7 linked regions of the Kluyveromyces lactis genome follow. The protein of the gene in region 7 purifies or fractionates together with the protein of the main gene of each other region. This does not show direct contact. Links are inferred from orthologs where the notes say so. Each region holds a gene or a part of one and is shown on either strand. Other genes may lie near its edges.

Evidence for each region.
Region 1: the proteins of CBC2 (region 7) and PRP9 purify together in Saccharomyces cerevisiae (affinity purification with mass spectrometry; 4 studies listed by BioGRID). This does not show direct contact. The link is inferred for Kluyveromyces lactis from reciprocal best matches to the Saccharomyces cerevisiae genes CBC2 and PRP9.
Region 2: the proteins of CBC2 (region 7) and YRA2 purify together in Saccharomyces cerevisiae (affinity purification with mass spectrometry; 4 studies listed by BioGRID). This does not show direct contact. The link is inferred for Kluyveromyces lactis from reciprocal best matches to the Saccharomyces cerevisiae genes CBC2 and YRA2.
Region 3: the proteins of CBC2 (region 7) and CDC40 purify together in Saccharomyces cerevisiae (affinity purification with mass spectrometry; 3 studies listed by BioGRID). This does not show direct contact. The link is inferred for Kluyveromyces lactis from reciprocal best matches to the Saccharomyces cerevisiae genes CBC2 and CDC40.
Region 4: the proteins of CBC2 (region 7) and CWC15 purify together in Saccharomyces cerevisiae (affinity purification with mass spectrometry, with the first as the bait; 3 studies listed by BioGRID). This does not show direct contact. The link is inferred for Kluyveromyces lactis from reciprocal best matches to the Saccharomyces cerevisiae genes CBC2 and CWC15.
Region 5: the proteins of CBC2 (region 7) and CWC2 purify together in Saccharomyces cerevisiae (affinity purification with mass spectrometry; 3 studies listed by BioGRID). This does not show direct contact. The link is inferred for Kluyveromyces lactis from reciprocal best matches to the Saccharomyces cerevisiae genes CBC2 and CWC2.
Region 6: the proteins of CBC2 (region 7) and PRP46 purify together in Saccharomyces cerevisiae (affinity purification with mass spectrometry; 3 studies listed by BioGRID). This does not show direct contact. The link is inferred for Kluyveromyces lactis from reciprocal best matches to the Saccharomyces cerevisiae genes CBC2 and PRP46.

The regions. Positions count from the first base shown.
Region 1 is NC_006042.1:2,292,036-2,295,546, reverse strand, and holds PRP9 (SF3a splicing factor complex subunit PRP9), read left to right. Parts: upstream 1-1,147; coding exon 1,148-2,740; downstream 2,741-3,511. Other genes in the region: ATP-dependent RNA helicase DBP10, read left to right, coding at 1-839; CDS1 (phosphatidate cytidylyltransferase), read left to right, coding at 3,039-3,511. UniProt on the Saccharomyces cerevisiae protein: mRNA splicing factors, PRP9, PRP11, and PRP21, are necessary for binding of the U2 snRNP to the pre-mRNA in an early step of spliceosome assembly.
Region 2 is NC_006038.1:1,265,778-1,268,490, forward strand, and holds YRA2 (Yra2p), read left to right. Parts: upstream 1-1,291; coding exon 1,292-1,333; intron 1,334-1,491; coding exon 1,492-2,100; downstream 2,101-2,713. Other genes in the region: DOA1 (Doa1p), read left to right, coding at 1-959. UniProt on the Saccharomyces cerevisiae protein: Involved in export of poly(A) mRNAs from the nucleus. Recruited to the coding sequences as well as poly-A sites of active genes.
Region 3 is NC_006041.1:1,891,108-1,894,361, reverse strand, and holds CDC40 (Cdc40p), read right to left. Parts: upstream 1,839-3,254; coding exon 549-1,838; downstream 1-548. Other genes in the region: proteasome regulatory particle base subunit RPT5, read left to right, coding at 1-458; pre-rRNA-processing protein ESF1, read right to left, coding at 2,165-3,254. UniProt on the Saccharomyces cerevisiae protein: May function in the second step of pre-mRNA splicing. Regulatory protein involved in replication and mitotic spindle formation and/or maintenance. Required for initiation and completion of S-phase and for initiation and completion of DNA replication.
Region 4 is NC_006040.1:1,430,628-1,433,319, forward strand, and holds CWC15 (U2-type spliceosomal complex subunit CWC15), read left to right. Parts: upstream 1-1,449; coding exon 1,450-2,013; downstream 2,014-2,692. Other genes in the region: ACL4 (Acl4p), read left to right, coding at 1-173; adaptor protein NBP2, read right to left, coding at 326-1,009; SLS1 (Sls1p), read right to left, coding at 2,170-2,692. UniProt on the Saccharomyces cerevisiae protein: Involved in pre-mRNA splicing.
Region 5 is NC_006039.1:1,336,392-1,339,592, forward strand, and holds CWC2 (active spliceosome conformation promoter CWC2), read left to right. Parts: upstream 1-1,592; coding exon 1,593-2,606; downstream 2,607-3,201. Other genes in the region: snoRNA-binding protein NHP2, read right to left, coding at 186-635; mRNA splicing protein PRP28, read right to left, coding at 3,048-3,201. UniProt on the Saccharomyces cerevisiae protein: Involved in the first step of pre-mRNA splicing. Required for cell growth and cell cycle control. Plays a role in the levels of the U1, U4, U5 and U6 snRNAs and the maintenance of the U4/U6 snRNA complex.
Region 6 is NC_006042.1:1,034,156-1,037,406, reverse strand, and holds PRP46 (mRNA splicing protein PRP46), read left to right. Parts: upstream 1-1,394; coding exon 1,395-2,699; downstream 2,700-3,251. Other genes in the region: pseudouridine synthase PUS7, read right to left, coding at 1-1,133; NuA4 histone acetyltransferase complex catalytic subunit ESA1, read left to right, coding at 3,064-3,251. UniProt on the Saccharomyces cerevisiae protein: Involved in pre-mRNA splicing. May also be required for cell cycle progression at G2/M.
Region 7 is NC_006038.1:913,947-916,706, forward strand, and holds CBC2 (nuclear cap-binding protein subunit CBC2), read right to left. Parts: upstream 1,163-2,760; coding exon 566-1,162; downstream 1-565. Other genes in the region: KLLA0_B10450g (homeobox domain-containing protein), read left to right, coding at 1-100.

The sequences.
Region 1 (3,511 bases), on a different chromosome or scaffold from region 7:
CTCCAATTCAAAGGAAGGCAAAAGAAAGACAAGAACTTCTGGAAAAAGAGAGAATGATTGGTTTGAGGCATAGTATAGAAGATGAAATTTTGAAAGGTGAAGACAACGAAGTTGGTTACTCAGTGCCTGATGAGGTATTGAAAGAATTTGAAGATGCCGATGTCTTGTTAGAAGAGCAAGAAAATATTAAGAAGAAGCAGAAGAAAACTTTCAGAGATCCAACTTTTTATCTATCACATTTCGCACCAACTAGTGACATTCAAGATAAACAATTACAGATATCATCTGGTTTCACAAATGATGCTTCCAATGCTGCATTTGATCTAGCCAACGATGACAAGGTACAAGTTCACAAGCAAACAGCTACGGTTAAGTGGGACAAGAAGCGTAAGAAATATGTGAACACTCAAGGTTTGGACAACAAAAAGTACATCATCGGAGAAAGTGGTCAAAAGATTCCTGCAAGTTTCAGATCCGGAAAATTCCAAGATTGGTCTAAGGCAAGAAAAATTGCTCCACTCAAAGTTGGTGCAAGAGAATCCACTATTCCATCGAATCTATTGGCTGATCCGACTTCTCCATCGGAGCGTACGGTTGGCGGTAAATTCAAACACAAGACTCAAAAAGCTCCTAAATTGCCTGATAAACATAGAGACGATTACGCTTTCCAAAAGAAAAAAGTGGAAGCTGCTTTGGAAAGAGGTGTTAGAGTTAAGGGTTATAATGGTCCTGGGATGAAACAAGAAATAAAGTCAGTTGACGAGATTAGAAAGCTAAGAGAAATTAAAGAGAAAAAGCGTTCCAAGAATGCCCGTCCTACGAAGCGGAGAAAACATTAGTATATTATGTAACTGCTCAAATAACAATCAGTGTGTAATTGAATAGACATTTTCTAAGCTTAAACATGAAATGGCCTCTCTCCAAATTATTGTTATGATATGTGACATATTGTATTGCTGGTTTACATTGTTTACTAGTATTTGTTCCTCATACGTCGAAATTGCCATTGATTATAGAAAATAAAAATGTAAAGAATGGAAATACCTTAGAAAGTACAAATATGGATCAGATGAAGGCTCAAAATGAATACCGTGCCTTCGGTTTACTGTCTGTGTAGCAGTTAGAGGATTCATAGAAGACAATAGATATGAATGCCCCCACTTATCTATGTTTTGAAGAGAGGCGAAAGATATTAGAAGAATTAGAAGTCATCGAGGATGCTATTTCGTCCAGACTACGAAGAAATCCAGAAATCTTTTACAGATTTAACGAAGCACTGCATAATCTGGGAGTTGAAGCTTGGGCGGTACCTAAGCTAGACGTTTCTGCCAACAGGATTTACAGGAGCAAGAAAAGCAAACGTTCTAGAAAGCAAATCAAAGCACAAGAATATGAAATCGCCTTATTTCTTGGAAGATATAGAAGACTGTTGAAATCTTTGCAAAAGCACAAATTGAGTGAAGAACATTTAGAATACTTTAGGGATACAAACGCTAGCTTTGAACAGTTTGAAACCGTCACCACAGAAGTATTAGAGGGTCAAGTAAACTCACGTTCTCTGGTTGAAGTCAAATCTGACTATGAGATGTTTTCTGGCCCTCAAGCTGCCAGTAAGAACATCATATCGCCCATAGGACAAATAATTGATCTTTCAAGAAACTTTGCTAGAGATGAAAACTTTGGGACGTATTTGGATCTCTCAGAACAATTCAAGAAGTGGTTGAATATCATCAAGCGTGCGGATTTAACGATACTTTCATTTTTGAAGATGTTAGAATCATTTGAAACATACGACTACTTACTCAACCCATCATTAGATAGAGACACCAAGGAATATAACCAATTAGTCACTGAGTTACTGAAATATTATAAGGCCTATTACTCCAAAGCTTATCCTCTAGTGGACAAGGAAATTCTTTCCAAAACCATCCACAATGGATTTGATAAATATGTGAGGACCGGTATCACAGAATCCCCATCGAAGGAAAGCGGGAAAATGTACTCCGTTGTGTTTAATCGATGGTTTGATAGTCAGTCGGAATTTAATACTCATGTTCAAACTGAACAGTTTAATATTGCATTGTCTCGGAATAGAAAGCGTTTGATGAAGGAATACACGTTTCACTGTTTTTCCAAATTTCTCTCTAAAGTATTGCAAAATACAATATCATTCACGGAAAGAAAACTTGCATTCACAGATGAAGAGTTTACTGAAGAGCTGGAAAAGCTACAAGAACAATATGAATCACCCATATACGCCAAAGATGAATCTGAAGATAAACCATCTTATATTGACAATGCTGAAGATACTGCTCAAAAAGAGAGTATGGATCCAACGAATCCATACAACCTACCATTAGGACCTGACGGATTTCCTATACCTCGCTGGCTCATCAAAGTCCAAGGTTTAGATGTGAAATATGTTTGCGAGATCTGCGGTAATCAAATATATCATGGGCGTAGAGAATTCGAGAAACATTTCCCACTGAAAAAACATTCAGAAGGTTTGAAATCTTTAGGCATAACTCCTTCTCTTGCATTCAAAGATGTCACTACTATAGTAGAGGTGACAGAGCTATGGAAAGCATTGCAAGCAAAGAGTACACTAAAGTCAGGTGAACCCTTTTCCAAAATATCAACTGTGAAAGAACCGGAAATGGTACTTGAAACAGAGGACAATGAAGGTAATGTGATGAGTGTTCAAGTATACGAAGAACTTAAGAAACAGGGCCTTCTCTGACCTTTCAATCCTACACACATGCTAAAATGGAAAGACTCTCCCTTATTGCTGCATCTGTAAATATCGTATGTATGTAGAGGAACTTTACACAAGTTGGGAGCATGGTTTTTTTTTCACATGTCACATGATCTTGAAGTTCGAAGAAAATTATCCATTTGGAATAGATGGTGGAAATATATAATCAACCAAGAAAAAAGAAGAGCATCATCACTCGCATGAGTAAGGAAACAGATCTCTACTTCACAGCATCTTATTGATCTAAGCACGTTACAATCTGCTAACCGGGAATATAAAAGTGATGACAGTCAAAAAAAGAACTGGTAACACCTCCCGTGGTGGATCTGCAACCTCAACACCTCAGAAACAACATCGAGAAACAACATCGAGAACACGGTTAGTTGAAGATTACAAAAAACACTCCAAGGTTGAAGTCAAAAAAGATTCAAAACTATATAATTTTGCTGTTAGAACCATTTGGACATTTGTTATGATTGCAGGTTTTTTTATCATCTTGGCTTCTGGTCACTTTTGGTGTGTTGTCTTGATTTTGGGTTGCCAAATTGCCACTTTCAAAGAATGCATTGCAGTTACTGGACAATCAGGACGTGAAAAAAACCTCCCTTTAACGAAAACTTTGAACTGGTACTTTTTGTTTACTACGATATACTATTTGGACGGTAAATCACTTTTCAAGTTCTTCAACGATACCTTCGTGAAGTATACCGTTTTGAATTTCGTGGCATCCAATCACAAGTTCATTAGTTATTGTCT
Region 2 (2,713 bases), about 350 kb from region 7:
ACATCGAAGAAGGCAAACCACCGTTGAAACTACCCGTCAATGCAAACGATAATCCGTACGATGTTGCAGATAAATTCATAATTAGATACGAGTTGCCAACAAGTTATAAGGATCAAATTGTCCAATTCATTGTGACAAATACTAAGTCGACTACATTAGATCAACCTTCTGATATTTCCAGACATGCAGACGTCAATTATAAGATATTCCCCGTGAAGAAGTACCTAAAACTTACATCTTTCAACCCAGATTCTTTGTTCAATGGTATTGTGAAACTTAATCAGGCAGAAAATACCTTTGACGATGACGCACTTGGGGCAATCGGTTCAGCTTTGCACGATGTGGAAAACAACATTGAACTATTGTATGCGCATGCATGCATCATTAAAAATCAATGGAAGGGGAACAAAACACCCGCATACGATATAGTTAGAATTCTAACCCCAAAGTTACCTTCAAGTGACGACATGAGTGAGTTTATCGAGGAAGGACTTTCACAAGAAAATCCAATCTCTACAATGCTAACTACAAGAATGTTAGCCAACTGTTTCTCTAACCAAATTTGGGGGAAAGAGCTCATGGGTAAGCCAGCATTGTACGATTCCGTGTTCCAAATATTGGACGGTGATTATCCAAATTGCAAACCTCAACAAAAAGACAACTTGGCTATTGCAATCGCCACTCTACTCTTCAATTATACCGTATACATCCTGGAATCCAATGATCAACAAATTCTTCCAATCATTGCTGATGTACTTAATACAAAATACGGATCATCATCTCTGTTCCTCAACAGTGAAGAAGCTACATATAGACTCCTAATCGCTTACGGAAATCTAGCCACTGTAGAACCATCGTTACATCAATACGCTAAATCCATCTCCTGGATTATCAGAGCTAAGGATAAATACGGTAAGATAGGTAGATTCGAAGATGTATTCGAAGACTTATTTAGATGATGGTAGTCTTTGATCATTAAATATTACATACATACATAAAGATACAACTTCTCCGGGTTAATTTGCTATCAAGTTATCAAATATGGTGGTGTTCTGTCAATGCTAGTGAGTGGATCATAATTCAATCATCATTAGAGTAGTTGAAGCGCTCGTCTCTTCTTTAATCCTATTCATGTACATAAGCATTTCTTGAAAAATTATAAAGGAAAGTTTAGTCAAAGTTTACATTTAACATGTAAGTAAAGGTTTGAACGAAAGATTGACAATTTCAAGGGTGAATAAGTTCAATTGAGGCACTAGCTGACCAATAAAAAACAATCACACGTTTTAAAATGTCTTTTGAGCGGGACTTAGAGAGCATTGCTGAAGGAAAAGTATGTTCTAACCAGTTTTCATTCCAGTTACAGATTTCTACATCAGAAGCAAACCGAACATTTTACTAACTCATTTCAACAAATTCAAACTAATATGAACCAGACACGTCAACACCATGCAGTATGTGATGAATGAAAGTGATAATTCAAAGTGACAGTATCAATCTTTGGCGAAATTGTCAAAAGAGAGTAATCATTCTTATGGAACAAAAAATATTAACAAGATAGAGTCCTGTGACCATGTTATGAACCAGGTTTATCGTCGTCGTGATCTGAGAAATGGCTTAGCTGATCGTCTCGGGATCTCTGACAGAGATAGAGAACCTCGTGGGAAGGATGGTGGTAGAGGAGGCTACCGTAGTAAGAGAAACTTTAATGACAGAAGGAAGAGAATAACGTTACTAAGAATTAGAAACATACCGTTAGAGACCAGTGACTATGAAATCGAAGATTGGATCAATGAGATAGGTGAAGTGGAGTCAATTAGGATCAATGATAGGAAAGAAAACAGAGTTGCTACCGTTGGTTTTAAAGACGTACAGTTGTTAGGCACAGCTGTTGAGAAGTTGAATGGGAAGGAGGTTCATGGCTCGCAGCTTGAAGTGGAGACCTTTGAAGTTGGTTCCAAAAACACAGGTAGAGGTCCAGCAGGTCCTCATGCCACTGGTGTACCCACATCAGCTAAAACTCCTAAAAATCCGAAAGCAGAACCTAAAACAAAAGAAGAGTTAGACCAAGAAATGGATGACTACATGTCGCAACCTTGAGAAACTCTCTAAAAGGAAACTGGCCCCGTGCTGTTTATGTAACTTATGTGCAAACTAATCACATGCTTGAGTTTGTTTCACGTATTTCATTTGTATAGTTGGAATGTTTTCGATGTTTTAGTCATCACACATGCTCATACCAATCTTATTGTGATGGAAAGAGTTAAGGCAACGTAAAACGAATGAAGAATATTAACCAAGAATAATGCGATTATATATATAGTTTATATATGCAGAAAAACTTGAACACTGTAAGTTGCGTTTTTTATTGGGGGGTTAGTTTATTTGCTTAATAGATTCGTTAAAAAAATCTATCAGGTTCATCATAATCATACTATGACACTTTCCAATAGGTGCTCGACAACAGAACAGAAACAAAGGTATTAGTCATTTCATTTCGTAAGCCATGTGTTGGGTCTGCTATTTGAAATAACATCCCACTTGAGAATAAATCTTTATCATAACAATTAAAGGACAAGTGGAAGCAAAACAACCCAGTTTAAAAAAGAAAGACCACTCCCACTGTTCTTGTCGAAGGGTTAAAACAGAGCGTTTTTAGTTTGTCTGTTTTTTTCTTTCATATTTCTATCCATAAATTCAAAGAATAATAATA
Region 3 (3,254 bases), on a different chromosome or scaffold from region 7:
TAGATGCCATTGGTACAAAACGTTTCGATTCCGAAAAATCTGGTGATAGAGAAGTACAAAGAACAATGTTAGAGTTGCTAAATCAATTGGATGGATTTGGCTCTGATGATCGGGTTAAGGTGTTGGCTGCTACCAATCGTGTTGATGTTCTAGATCCGGCCTTATTAAGATCTGGTAGACTTGATAGAAAAATAGAATTCCCACTCCCTACAGAAGATGCAAGAGCTCAAATTCTACAGATTCATTCCAGAAAAATGACAACTGATGATTCTATCAATTGGCAAGAACTCGCTAGATCTACAGATGAATTCAATGGTGCTCAATTGAAAGCCGTTAGTGTCGAAGCTGGTATGATCGCATTAAGAAACGCTCAATCAACAATCAAGCACGAAGATTTCGTTGAGGCTATCGGTGAAGTACAGGCAAGAAAGTCTAAATCCGTTTCCTTTTATGCATGATTTATATGTAATCATTAAGTATATCTACATAACCTTATCGAAGGTTGTGCCGAAACCAAGAATAATGTCTCAAAGAATCTCAATTCTTCATTAGTCCAGAATGGCAATTTTTCCGGTATTACCAGCGCAACATAACTTACTTGTCTCTTGAGGATTCCATTCAATACAGGTTACTGGCAGGTTATTTGAAAATGGCTTAAATTTCTTTAACAATTTGGTAGTTTTCCAATCCCAGATGAACGTCTGACCTTTAGAGTCTCCAGATGCAATGTATTGGCCATCAGGAGAAAATGCAAAATGAATACCATAACCTGTAGTATTATGACCTTTGAATGTCTTGTTTGGGTGTCTTTTATACTTTGGTAACATTGAGTACGTATAGATGGTGTTGTCCATACTTTGTGTACAGAAAGACTGACCCTGTGGATTAATATCGATCCATGGCATAGAATGTTGTGCTGTGCCACTGATTTGTTTAATAGGAATATTGATTCGGTTCTCCCAAATTCTGACCGTTTTATCTTCTGACGACGAGATTAACTTCTTACCATCAGGGAAGTACTTTAGTGCCAAAATAGAACCCTGATGATGATCATATTTCTGTACTTCCCCATGGTTTTCTGATAGCCTCAAGTCATAGTGCCGTATTTCGGAGTTGGATAATCCTACCACTAGTTGGTTCTTGTCTTTTGGGTGGAATGTAATACAGTTCGGTACAGAGTTGAAACGCAATCTTTTATCAATTATACCTTTTTCGGTGTTCCAGATCTTAACCCATTTATCAAATGATGCACTGGCAAAAGAATGTCCATTATCTGTAAAGTTCAAATCCTTTATAGTCATAGAGTGACCTTCATACGTTCTTAATAGTTCTCTCTCATGATAAAAGTCCCATAGTTTTATTATGTTGTCGTTACCGCCTGAAAGTAAGAGATGTCCTGTTTTCGGTATGAATCGTAATGATGTAGTACCATTCTTATGCCCATAGTATTCTGCTATCTTGGTTTTCGGAAGGAAGCACCTGAATGATAGTGGTTCTTTCTTGAATTCTAATGGAATATCTACTGGGGGGTGTAAAATGCATCTTCCCAGATAGTCTTTTTCAGTACTGCCTACAAATTTCGTTCTTTCAAGTGATTGTGATGCCACTGCATCCTCATCACCACCTAAATCTAAGGAATTAGAAGCATTTGAATCCTTTGATAATTGTTCGATCTCATCGTCACTAGATCCTTGCCATTTTGCCCATGGTCCTTTCCCGTTCCTCCTAAGTCTTTTGGACTTCAATTCAGCCTTTGATGTTTTTAACGATCTCTTAGGCACAGCTACAGATGAGCCATCATCACTACTCTCACTTTCATAACCCTGTACCAGCCCCATTATTCCCTGGATATTATGGCAGTGGCAGAGTCTATCTAGTAAGTTTATCGGTTTGTCCGTGTATTACCTACAATTTTAGATAATCTTTAGAAAGATGAACCTATTTCATATAATGTGATAATGTGCACTTTTTCTTTTTGTTCACACACAGAATATGACGTACAAATCTGGATAAATAAGGAAATGACTTAAAGTTACAGACCATGCCATGATACAGTCGCATGATTAAGTGAAATGATGTATTTATGCTTTAATCAAATGCTGAATATATACATATAAGATGTGGACGTCTTTGGGTTGATATAAAGTGTCCACAAGTTTGCAAATTAGTGTTTTGTTCTTTTGTTCTTGGCCTTAAGTTTTTCAACTAAACCGCCGATCTTATTTATGTCTTTACTATGTTCAGTATTTGCAATTTCGTGGTTACGCTTTTTGCCCCTAGATTTTTTGCTTGAACGTACTGTACGTTCCTTTAAAATCTTCTCCATAGCTGGTGTCTTCTTGAACTCTGGTTGAGTAGGATCAATCGCGAAATCGTGATCTTCAAAGACCTCTTTAAATCTTGGATCATTAACGTCTGGAGTGAATTCATCATCCACAATCTTCTCCTTGTTTTGATACTTGGCCTTTTTGGATTTTTCCTTCTCAGATTTGAGAATCTCATTCATGTTGAAGTGTGCCTTGTTGTTAATTGTTGATTCACCCTCATTTTCATCTAGCATTAAGAGCTCTAACTCTCCCTTTTTCTTATCGTCATCGATGCTGTGAGAAGTATCTTTCTTCTTCTTAAGGTTCTCCTTTAATTTGGCTTCTGATTCCTTCTTAAGCTCCTTGACTCTGTCCTTTCTCTTCTTACGTCTTTCTTTTTCTTTACGTCTAATCTTATCAATGGTGCTTTCCTCTTCGTTATCATTGGTATCTTGTTGGCCAGACTCATCCAGGCCTGGAGTGAAAGTTATTTCCATATCAGCCTCATTATCGTCTTCATCTTCCTTTTGATCAAATAGTGACTTTTGCCCCACTTTTACGGAATCCATTACTAAAGCCTTGAGTTTATTTTTAACTTGATCATCATGCTCAACTTCAGATTCTTCACTATCGGAGGCTAAATAAGCTTTAAAGTCCATTTCTTCAATTTCTTTTTGAGTGAATGCTCTTTTAGATATTTCCACACGGTCTGCAGGAGTTTCATCCCATGTAAGCTTTACCTTGGAATGCTGAAGGGCATCTGTACTGAATTGTGCCGGCTTGTAATTTTTTGGAAGCGAGGTACATTCATCACGAGGATCATCATCCATTTCCATACCATCAGGCACATACCTTAAATCAAAGACATTGGCTGTAGATTCATATTCTGTGCCATCACAGTTTTGATAGATTGATTCGGCTGTCCTAATGTCGCTGCAGTAAACCACG
Region 4 (2,692 bases), on a different chromosome or scaffold from region 7:
AGTTCAGTGAAAATGCGGAGTCCGACGATGAAATGGCCAAGGAAATAATCCAAGGAGTCCATGGCTTGTTGAATGAAATTGGTGGTGCTCTTGATATAACAGAACTAATGAAACTCAAACGTGGAGAGGAAGTTACAGAAATTGATGAAATCGAAATCAACGAGCTTGAATGATCTAAGAATGCAGGCACGGGCTTCATGTTAAACTGCTTTTGATCAATTCTTTCATTTCATCTTAACGGGACTTTTATTGTAACGTATTACTAGAAAAGTATTTAATTAATATTGCAGCTAATATATAGATATTTAGCGCAGAAAACAGAATGCTATAGATCCAATTTCTCCTTGATATCTTTCGCGAGTTCTGATACGTCGCTCTTTTCATTTAACGTACTGCCTGTTTTTCCGTTTTCAAGAACAGTTCTATTATCATGAGAAACACCATTGTTGTTCGTTATATCAACTGATACTGAATCTTGACTGGGTCGCTGTATACTTCTGTGCTCTTTATCACTATGTCCTTCAGCTTCCTCGTCATCTTCTATGTCTTCCCAATCATCATCGTGATAATTAGACATGCTCTGCGTTATCATTTGAGTAAGATAAAACGGCCTAGGATTCTCATACCTACCGTTGTCTTCGCCATCGTCTTCAATCAACTGCACATACTCTTCCGGTACCAATCCTGTCTTGGATCTATCGTGATTTTCTGCCACTAACCACCCTTGGCCATGCTTGTAACTTATATATACGACATCTCCTTCTTTCAACTCCAACTCGTTATCATTTTCTGGGACAAAAGCATACATCGCTATGGCTCTCTTATTAACGATATAATCATCTGGTAGTAACACACTTTCTCTGTTCCCACTCAATCGAAGGTTGTTCTGATCTTCATCATCTTCTTCAAAATAACCAAAATGTAACGGATTTGATTCGTCATATGCGTAATCTTTTATCGATATGTACCCAACCATATCGTCCTCTTGGTCAACCTCATATTCTGACATTATGATAGTTATGTCTTCTGATGTTATTAGTAAATCTCACCGTCTTTGATCTAAGTTCAAAGCCTCATTCAATATGTGTTCAGTTCTATATTTCTAGTGTGAACGAATGCTCCACGGGAAATGATTAAATGATAAAGTCCTATGTCCTCTTAGAAAAGTTTGGTATGAAATGTAGCTTGCTATATGTAGTTGCCAGTACGACGTTCGTAGTTCTTATTTCTTTGGTACACGGTAATTGTTAACGTAGATTCGCATTTGAAGTTTCAGATTGCTATTTTTTCATATCAAGGCTATAAAGATTGAACATCAACGCACATTCACGAGATTGTTCACAGGCAAAACAGGTGAGCTAATTTAACTGGTACCTGGGATGGTAGATAAGCTTACGTTAGTTTCAGTGGAGTGCTACAGATTGAATATAATATTGACTGTGTTCTGAAATGACTACATCGCACAGACCTCAACTAGAGGCCAGGAATGGGGCAAAGAATATAGAATACATTCCTACTTCGACGCAGCACGCTAGACTTTTACCGGGGCACAAAGAGGTTAAGTATAGAAACACGAAGAAGAGGGTGTTGAATCGTAAAGTAGAAAGTACTCCGAGTGAGGAGGCTAAGAAAAGAATCAAAATAACTGGAGCAGAGGAATGCTCGAAAGATGAAGAGATACAGGCCACGGATAGTAGCGATGAGTACGAGGAAGAGGAGGAGGAGAGTGAAGATGAAGAAGCGCTATTAGAGGAGTGGAATAAAGTTAAGCAAGAAAGATTGGACAAAAAACTGAGAGAACAGCGTGCTGAAATCACAGCAGCTCAAAATGAAGAAGTGACGAAACCGCAAAAGCATGGTGGTTGGAGATCTAACACTGTATTTGGACGTAAAGGTACAGTCAATCAATCGGCAAGTATATCTGAACATAATTCAAATGGGAAGGGAAAATATGTCAATAATATTACTCAAAGCGAATATCATAAGGAATTTATACGAAAGCATGTAAAATAGTTTATGTTAAATATTTTTCTATTATGGAGAATCAATCGACAGGTGTACGTCAAAAACTTAAATGAAGTCTATATATCTGTTCTTCCGCACTATTTACAGGATGACTTTGTATAATTATACATATATGCATTAAGGACCAAAATATTTCGAATGATTTCAGAATTGTAAAACGTCATCGATGAAATTTCTAACGATGTCCTTGTTGATGGATCCGTTAGTGCTGATAAAATCAATAGATGAAGCTTTGCCTCCTAAGCTTCCGCCTTCAATTTCAGAGAGTTGTACCAAACAATCTTCTTTGTACTTGAATCTTAATAAACGGTGTTCGTAGCGATGCAAATAATTGTATCTGATCTTTTGCGGTTCTTCCATTCCTTCTAATTTCACGTTCAATTCAAAAGAAGGAGCAATGCGGGGCTTCTTCAAGCCTCCGAAAGAGAAATTACTTTCCTGTAAGAATTTCCTGAAGCTTGGTTGTTCCCTCTGTAGCCAATCGAAAAACTCTGAAGATTCCAAATCTTCTGGAAGTGCATCCACTGTATCTGTCACTGTGATTTTAAAGTCATGAGAAAGTGTAGGAGTTTGGATACAAGCTGAATTATCCGAATAAGTGTGGATGCATCTGACGGTCGAAGTATCAGCGTTGTTATTTTCATCCAAGGTGAACCAAACTTCCAAA
Region 5 (3,201 bases), on a different chromosome or scaffold from region 7:
TTGGAAATTAGTCTTGCAGTCTCAGTATATGCATTGCAAGAAGAGTTCAAAAATAGTAGTTGTGAAGTGGAAGTAGTTGGGGTTAATTAAACAAGCCAACACCAGGAAGCAATTAACGAAACACTCGGTGTTTTGCGATTATAACTTTCTCTTTTCCGGTTGTTCTGTCGACAGTTTTCATATCTCTACAAAGAGCTTACTTCCTTAACAATTTCATCGAATGCAGCACGGTATTCTTCTTCCTTAGCCTTAGCATCTTTCTTCTTGTTAGAGCCTGGAACGATGAATACAACAGAAGTAGGTCTCTTGGTGGCACCAGCAGAACCTAGATCTTGCTTCGAGGGCACAAAGATATATGGAACAGATTGGTCTTCACACAAAACTGGCAAGTGAGAAATAACATCTTGTGGGAAAATATCACCAGCAATGACTACTAACCCTTTATCACCCTTTCTCAAAGCCTTGACAACCTCTTTGACACCTCTTTTGACATTCTTAGCCTTGGAAGCCTTCTTGACGGTCTTTAACACCTTTTTGTTCAGTTTCTTTGATGCTAGAGGTTTTGCAAATGGTAGAACGGCAGGAAGTCTAGCTTCGTAGTTGTCTTCTGTTGATACACTCTTATCCTTGGCCATCTTTGTTATTATGTATAGTTCTTCACTGTTCCCCTGGTTCAAATAGAGCGAGCAATTGATTGAGAAAGGAATCAATATCACATCAGCAAGATAGGTTCATCGATTCATTCAACAGTTCAATTCTCATACTCATCGCTCTTCTTTTTGTTAACAAAAAATGAAAATTTTCCAGTACCGAGTAACATGAAAAAGAAATAAAGTATCAATTACAGTAGGGACGACATAAATTAATCCATGCGACACATAAACAACTTTTCAGAATATCGTGCCAGCGTCTTGTTTCGGAGGTGGTACATAGCAGTTGTAGAAATGTCCATCGCCTAACATTATTCTGGATGAGTCCCTTTAATTTCATACAAAACTTGGAGTTTTAAATGGCGAACAATATGTACAATGATTAAACTCTGTAGGAGAAATTAGCTGTTCCAGGTGCAGGGCATTATTGTCCTGTGATCACTTCACTTGTATAATTAAATACTTTAAAAGGTTTAAATACTCCATATACCTCTTAATGTCAGGCAATGTAGTCTTAGTAAACCTTGAAGTTTGGTTATAGCATCATTGAAAATTACAACACACAAGTAACTTCTCTCGGTAGCCAAGTTGGTTTAAGGCGCCAGACTGTAATTTGAAAACACAAAGCAATTTGTAATCTGGAGATCGGGCGTTCGACTCGCCCCCGGGAGACTTATCTTTTTTTCGTTTCCATTTTGTTTTTGATCATGATCGTTTTCACTAAAGAAAAGTTCCAACCTTGAAGTTTATTGAAAACACTTTGGCCTGCGATGAGATGAACATGGAAGATGTGTGCTCGACAAGATACAGTTTTCACCGTTATAATACGGTATCTGTTGTTGCATAAATTGGACGGTTCAAACTGTTTGCTTGTTCGAGGTCATTAAAGAATACTTGGTTTGGCAAATTGCCAAATATTAAGGTCATCGTCATCAATATATTATGACTGGGGATTGGAAGAACCGACCAGCAAGGGTTCAGTTACAGGAGTCTGACCTACCTTCATCAGTACCGCCTCAGACGGGTTTGGCTTTCAACGTATGGTACAACAAATGGTCACAGGGGCAAAGTGGGTCCACTAGGTTCGTCACACCGTACTCGCTTGATCCCGAGAACGATTCTGGTATCACTAAAGGTGATAAAGAGGGTCGGATTCATTTCTGTTTGTATTTCGCTAAGGGAATGTGCTGTTTAGGCAAAAATTGTCGGTACTTGCATCATATTCCAGAGCCAGATGATTTTGCGAGGTTAGCTTTGCATTCCTCTGCGTTAGATTGTTTTGGAAGAGAGAAATTTGCTGATTATAGAGATGATATGGGTGGGGTAGGTTCCTTCAAGAAACCTAACCGTGTCTTATACGTGGGTGGTATTACAGGGGCACTCAACAACAAAACTTTGAAACCACATCAGATTGAGAATAGAGTGAAATACAAGTTCGGGAAACTTGGAGAATTGGATTCTGTTCGATACGTGGAGAGTAAGAATTGTGCCTTTGTCAAGTTCAAATTACAGTGTAACTCCGAATTTACTAAGGAAGCAATGGGCAATCAGACTCTATTAATACCAACCGATAAAGAGTGGGATCTAAGGAAGGAGGGAACTGGGTTGCTTGTGAAATGGGCGAACGAGGATCCTAATCCAGCTGTACGAAAGAGAGAATTGGAAGAACAAACCCAAGAGACTTTGAAAGCTATAAAACAACTAGTGGCTAGTACTGAAGGCACTGTAAATCAAAAACGTAAAGTTGAAGAAATCAACGAAGTGAGAGATTCGCAGGCGAACAGTCGTGAAAGATTCAGCATTAGGGAGAATGCAATCATAGATAAGACTATTTTAGATAAGTTGAAACAAAGGAAAGTGACTATTACCAATACCAACGTTGCTGCAAATATAACAGTTTCAAAACCATCGTCGGTTTTACCTTTGGTAACCCAATATTCATCTGATGAAGACTAGATTTCGTGAAGTCATGTGACACATTGACTTTTCCAGATTAGGTATATTTTGGATTACTGGTTGCCGTCATGAACAACATCTAGCGGATTTCAGATTTGTTTTACTGACATTGCAAATATTTGAAATGAATATAAAAGCTATCAATGCCTGGTTTTCAAATTATGTCGAAGTTGTTTTGTCGAGTTCACTTACTTGAACTTCGTCAGTCTACGGTTTGGCCTTCATCAAAAAACACGATAATTTTGAATCAGACATCCGAAAAAATGGAAGACAAGGCACAGGCTCAAACAAGAACGCATGAATCGTCAGACCATTGGGTATTTCCAGGATTGACCTGGAATCCTAAATGCATTATTAGCTAGCACACTGTAACTATTTACGTTAAATACTCTAATTCATATTGCATGACTCTAAAATTTCAAGGAAAAAAGTCTAGTCCTTTCATATAATAATTGGTTTGTATGAAGATTTGTCAACATTGTATTTCGACATAGCTTCTTTTGAGATGTAATTTTCTCCGGTGAAGTCGTTCTTTTTGACATAATCGAACAATTTAGCCATGGCAGAATGATCTTCCTCCTCGGTTAGAAAAGTA
Region 6 (3,251 bases), on a different chromosome or scaffold from region 7:
TCTTGTTCAGCCATGATCAAATCAACAGCTTGTTTCCAGTTACCTGATAATAGGACTTGCCCAATTTGATGCGTTGAAACACTGAACGTACCAAATCTTTGCATACCGAAATAATTGATGAACCCATTTTGTTCCAAGGATTTCATGCCATTGGCTAGGATATCATCCAAATCATCGCCTTCATTCTTCAATGAAACATCTCTGATAGCAATAGTGAATTCGTTTCCCTGTAGATCTCCCAAGTTCAATGGCTCATCTTCGAATTTGTAGCCACCTAGAACGACACCCTTCAAGCCCTTGTTTAGTCCGTTTAATCTGTCCAAACCAATTTTGGATAAAGACATTCTTTGACAAGTGACAGCCCTACGATCCTTTGTTCCAGAAAATCTGATCAACCTTGTTGGAATTCTCATGAATTTTGATAAAGTATTAGCGACATCCATAGTATCTTTGTTTTCCTTATAGACAGTAAAATGAATAAACGATTTTGATGGACCATAACCCCAGTTTTCGACACCGTTTGCATCCTTAGTTTGTTCGATCAATTCTTCTTTGCTAACACGTGTTTGGCGAGAAGCCATTCCAACAATGAAATGGTTTGAATCCGTCGTTACAGATTCTAACTTGTTGTCGAAAGCTCTACGTAGCAGTTGATGTATTTTAGTCCTTTCAAGTTTATCATCGAATGCCTTCGATGTTTCAATCTTTTTATTTGAGCGGTACACAGCTTCAATTTTTTGAACATCCTCTTCTCCCAAAAGTTCAACAAGTTCATTTCTAATTCCTTCATCCACCTTAAATCCTTGGCGTTTCTCAAGTTCTTCTTTTTGCGATTGCTCGATTTGTTCTCTCGTTGGCTTTGGCTTCTTTGGCATATTAAAACCTTTGTCAGTCAAATGCACAACTTCGCCTTGCTTGGTGATTTCATTGACTAAAAAGTCAGTGTACCTTTGTTTGATCTGACCATTGAAACCAACATTATCCATTGATAAGTAATGCGTGATACCAACATCCTTTTCAGTGATGTTGTTATTGTTTATACCTTCATTTATACCTTCACCAACTTTTGTCCTCTTAATATCTTCTTGCTGGGCAGCAGCTTCGGACTCTCTTTTCAAAGATTGGTCTGACATTATACCAATACTATACTTTAACACGAGAGTACTAATACCTGGTACTTGTTATAAGCAATTAAGAAGCGCAGCTTCCAGATTTGAACAACTGACTTCTGCTTCAATGTGATGAGATGAGATGAGATGAGCTCGAAATTTTTCAAGAAACGAAAAGAACCGTTTTGTATGATGGATATTATGAAAAGTTAACGAAGTGACATATACAAAGATGAAAGAGAGTTACACGACTTAATCGAACTGATAGACAACTAATAAGTACCAATGAATACATCCAGCCGTAGCTCTGAACCTTCGAAGGTAGCAGATGATGTTTACGTTCAAACTCGGTGGAATAATGAATTTAAACATGCTGATTATTTACCTGAGTCGTTACAGAAGTGCCTGGATCAAGAAAAGACTGTTTTAGAAAGGTACAGTGAATTAGTTGAGGTGTCGAAAACTGTTGCAAACGAAAGCTCTCAAGCATTAGTCAAACATACCACAAAACCAGGCGACCAACTAGTACGAAGAGTGTTCCAACAGCCACATCAGCAGATTTCATTGATGGAACGTTATGAAAAGACTCGAAGTTATAAACCGCAATGGCATGCACCATGGAAACTCAGTAAGGTAATAAATGGTCATACTGGATGGGTAAGATGTGTATGCGTGGACCCCGTTGACAATGAATGGTTTGCTACTGGTAGCAACGATACAACCATTAAAATCTGGGATTTAGCTGCGGGAAAGTTGAAAATTACTCTAATCGGGCATGTAATGAGTGTTCGAGATATTGCTATCTCAAAGAGACATCCTTATATGTTCTCAGCAAGCGAAGATAAACTTGTAAAATGTTGGGATCTAGAAAGAAATACTGCAATTAGGGATTTTCACGGTCATTTATCTGGCGTGCATACCGTTGATGTTCATCCGAGCCTTGATATAATAGCTACTGCTGGTCGTGATGCTGTAGTAAGGTTGTGGGATATACGATCAAGATCTGAGATAATGGTTCTGCCCGGTCATAAAAGCCCTATAAATAAAGTCAAATGCCTTCCCGTTGACCCACAAATAATCAGTTGTTCCGGGGATGCAACAGTTAGACTTTGGGATATCATTGCAGGGAAGGCAAGCAAAGTTTTAACGCACCATAGTAGAAACATCAGAGACTTGACGCTACACCCAGCAGAGTTTAGCTTTGCCAGTGTATCTACGAACGACGTCAGATCCTGGAAATTGCCCGAAGGACAGCTATTAACCAACTTTCAATCCCAGAACACTGGGATTTTGAATACCGTATCAATTAATCACGATAATGTACTATTAGCTGGTGGAGATGACGGTACTTTGTGCTTTTACGATTACAAAACAGGACACAAATACCAAAGTATGATGACAACTGAAGTTGCTGGCTCACTTGAAAGTGAGCGATCGATTTTATGCAGCACCTTTGATGTCACAGGAACAAGACTCATCACAGGGGAAGGAGACAAAAGCATCAAAATATGGAAGCAAGTCCCTGATGCTACAGAAGATACATTCCCTGGCTTGCCGTGGAATCCCACGTTAATATCTCAAAGATTCTAATCTAGCTGGTGTCTACTTGCAGCGACTTATGTAGAAGTTTGTAGTTTAACTCTATTAGGTCCCCGTTTTCCATCTATCTAGAATATTTCAGTCTGCATTAATTGCGAGGTTTGCTCTAACTGTCATATGATTACAGTCACGTAGTCAAGGACAGGGAACGTCAGGTTTTCTTGTATGTTTGTTCAAGCATGGTGTTTGCTTTAATACGGTAATCTGAATAAATTAACTGAAATTTAGCATCTTCAAAATATTTGAACTTATTAGTTACGCAATAAACCAAATCCAAAAACAGAGCACCTCTGTAAGAGGAACTAGTAAGGCAAGGCAACTGTTTAACAAATATTTTGGGCGAGCTCGCTAATACATGAGTCACGGCGAAGAAAAGGAACCTGGGATTCCCCAGAAGGTTGACAGCATCGATGAGATTTTCGTTGGATGCAAGTCATGGGTACTAAAAGATGGTCAAGATCGTCTTGCTGAAATTCTATCCATTAACAGCAGAAGAGATCCACCTAAGTTCTACGTGCATTATGAAGACTTCAATAAACGTCT
Region 7 (2,760 bases):
ACTTACAAGAAGGAAAAAATTGATAGATCGTCTGGATGAATTGAAACGTCTGTCATCGAATAATATGCCCCCACCTTCTCATCGTCGACAACCATCGTGACATTTGTCGTAATGCATATCATAAATCTACACTTTTTCGGTTATCGTTTAGCATGCATGAGAAGAAGATTTTACCCCTTCATATTAAGGTGGTCTTTTCTTTCTCCTAATTCTTTATATTCTTAATTTTTTTTGTTTTGTCTACGGTCAATCTTCAATTCCAGCTGTCACGAGCTCATTATAAGGCACAGCTTTAACTTTCTTTCATTTATTAGTTTATTAGTGTTTGTCTGCTCTTTTATCTACCATCCATTCATTTCACCCAACTCCTATTGATGGATTAAAGCGGCAAAATTTTTTATTATATCGAGATATCTTTAGCTCTAATATGAACTAGCTATATATTCAAATAAAATACTTCTTACCACAGTATTATTCTTTTAAATCAATTAACTTAGTGAAATAGGTACTTAGATTGAAATGTGATATATACACATCGATAAACGACCTTATGATTGTACTGTTTTTATTGGCCTGGAATGTAAGCATCTTCATCTTCTTCATATTCTTCATCCTCTTGCTGTATTGGAATGTTTTTAACTCTTCTGGCCCCGAAGTTGGCATTTGTTCCAATTCTATTCTCAAGTGGAGTGTAGAACCCACCTCTGGACGCATCGAATTCGAATCTCATCTCATCACTAACTTGACCACCATTCTTACCTCTACCGAACTGTCTTCCCTCTTCGAACCCAGGATCCAAGTCAATGGTTATATGACGGTCATCTAACTTCGTGTCACCCAAGTATTTTATAGAATTCAATGCGTCTTCCATCTTATCGAATATAATAAAACAAAATCCACACGGCGTAAACTTGAACCTATCTAGACCCATGATAATCTTTTTTATGGTGCCACATTTGGAGAATAGCTCATATATTTGCTCTTCACTTGTGTAAAACGATAGATTACCCACATAAACTGTACAGGATTTCATAGATTTTCTCAACTGTTGCAATCCAGAATCTGGGTCACGTCTAGCCTTACGGATCAAATAACGAGAGGGCTTATCTAACCTATCACAACTGTGATCGTACTTAATCTCATCAAACTCCGCTAGAGACATGGTATTTGCTTGACTGATGCTAGTTTGGGGTATTTGGAGTTTATCTGGAGCTATGGTGTCTTATGAACCTATAGATTTTACTTAATCATTTCAATCCCAAATTTAAAGTTGAATGAATCTTTCAAGTTTTTTTTTTTTTTCCATATAAGCCATATTATAAGTACTGAATACTTTGTGTCAGTGACAGGTTGTGAAAAATCAAATAAACAAATCGGGTGGACACTGCATCGAAGCTCTTGACTGCTGAGAAAGAATAATAAGTAACTTTCAATTAATTAAATTTGAGACTATCCAGTGGTTTCTCTGGAAAAATATTGTTATGCACTCTACTTTGACAGAAATGATTCTCAATAGCCATAAGGGAAATGTGGGAAGATACCATTTTAGAATTCATAACACACCCCCATGCCACCAAGAAGAATAAGATCCCTGTTAAATAGGTGCTGATTGTTAAAATTGACTACACAAGTATTTCCAAGAGATTCAGCTACATACTAACAATATCTGAAGAGAAGGTTTCAAGTGATACTGTTTCCATAATAAAAACTAATGTTGATTTCTATTTTGTATGGTTACTATCCGATATAGTGTAACGGCTATCACATCACGCTTTCACCGTGGAGACCGGGGTTCGACTCCCCGTATCGGAGTATTTTTGAAATTTTTTGCTTTTGCCAACAACCCAACAACTGAAAATAATGAAGATCGACATTAACGAGCGGACCGTGATATATGATACTGATAACTAATCCGTCACAATATATACCACTGTAGAGGCAGTAAACTATCAAGATAGAATTAGCAGCAGTACCTGTTTACCACACATTGGATACGTAATACAATGACATATACGGTATAGACGACAAGAAAACAAACAAACTGATAGACATGAATACCAAAGTATTTCAGACATTTATGAGATGAGATATGGTTGAATTGTTATAAAGATTAGAAAACGTATGTCGAAAAACAAGTAGTTGAAAATTGTATTGGCCTAGTGTAAAAAGGAAGTAAAAATGAGAAAAAGAAATCAGTGATTGTGACAGTATTATGATATTGTATTTCAAGATTGAGAAAGGTGCGAACGAACGGAATTACTATTATCAGTATAATAAAGCCATAAAAGGAGAGAAATGAAATATTCATCAATGATTCATGATACACTATGTATGAAAATTTGTAGAAAAGGAATAGTCGTAATGAAAAAAAAAATAGATATTGTTTCATGTAAACATCTAATCGGAAGCAAACTTCTTTTATCTCTTTCTTTTAATACCGTGAGGTTTCAATAGTTCAAAGCTGCACATCAAGCCAGTAGTCACACTCATGACAGCACCCCAATTTTCGAATTCACCACAATAGTTTGGTGCACTGAAAATCGTGACCAATTTTTTCCTTGCAAAGAATTCATAGCCATCTTCTACCACCATATGCCCTCTGATAATTAAATCGAAATTGAACTTGGAACAAAAATCAGCAATGTTTTTCTTTGAAAAAGTGTAAGAGACACCACGATCATTCAGAGACCAATCGTTAATAGAAGAGTCAGGATCCGACCATAACAAATCAGTTAAAAGACCGTCGTCCGGAATATCTGT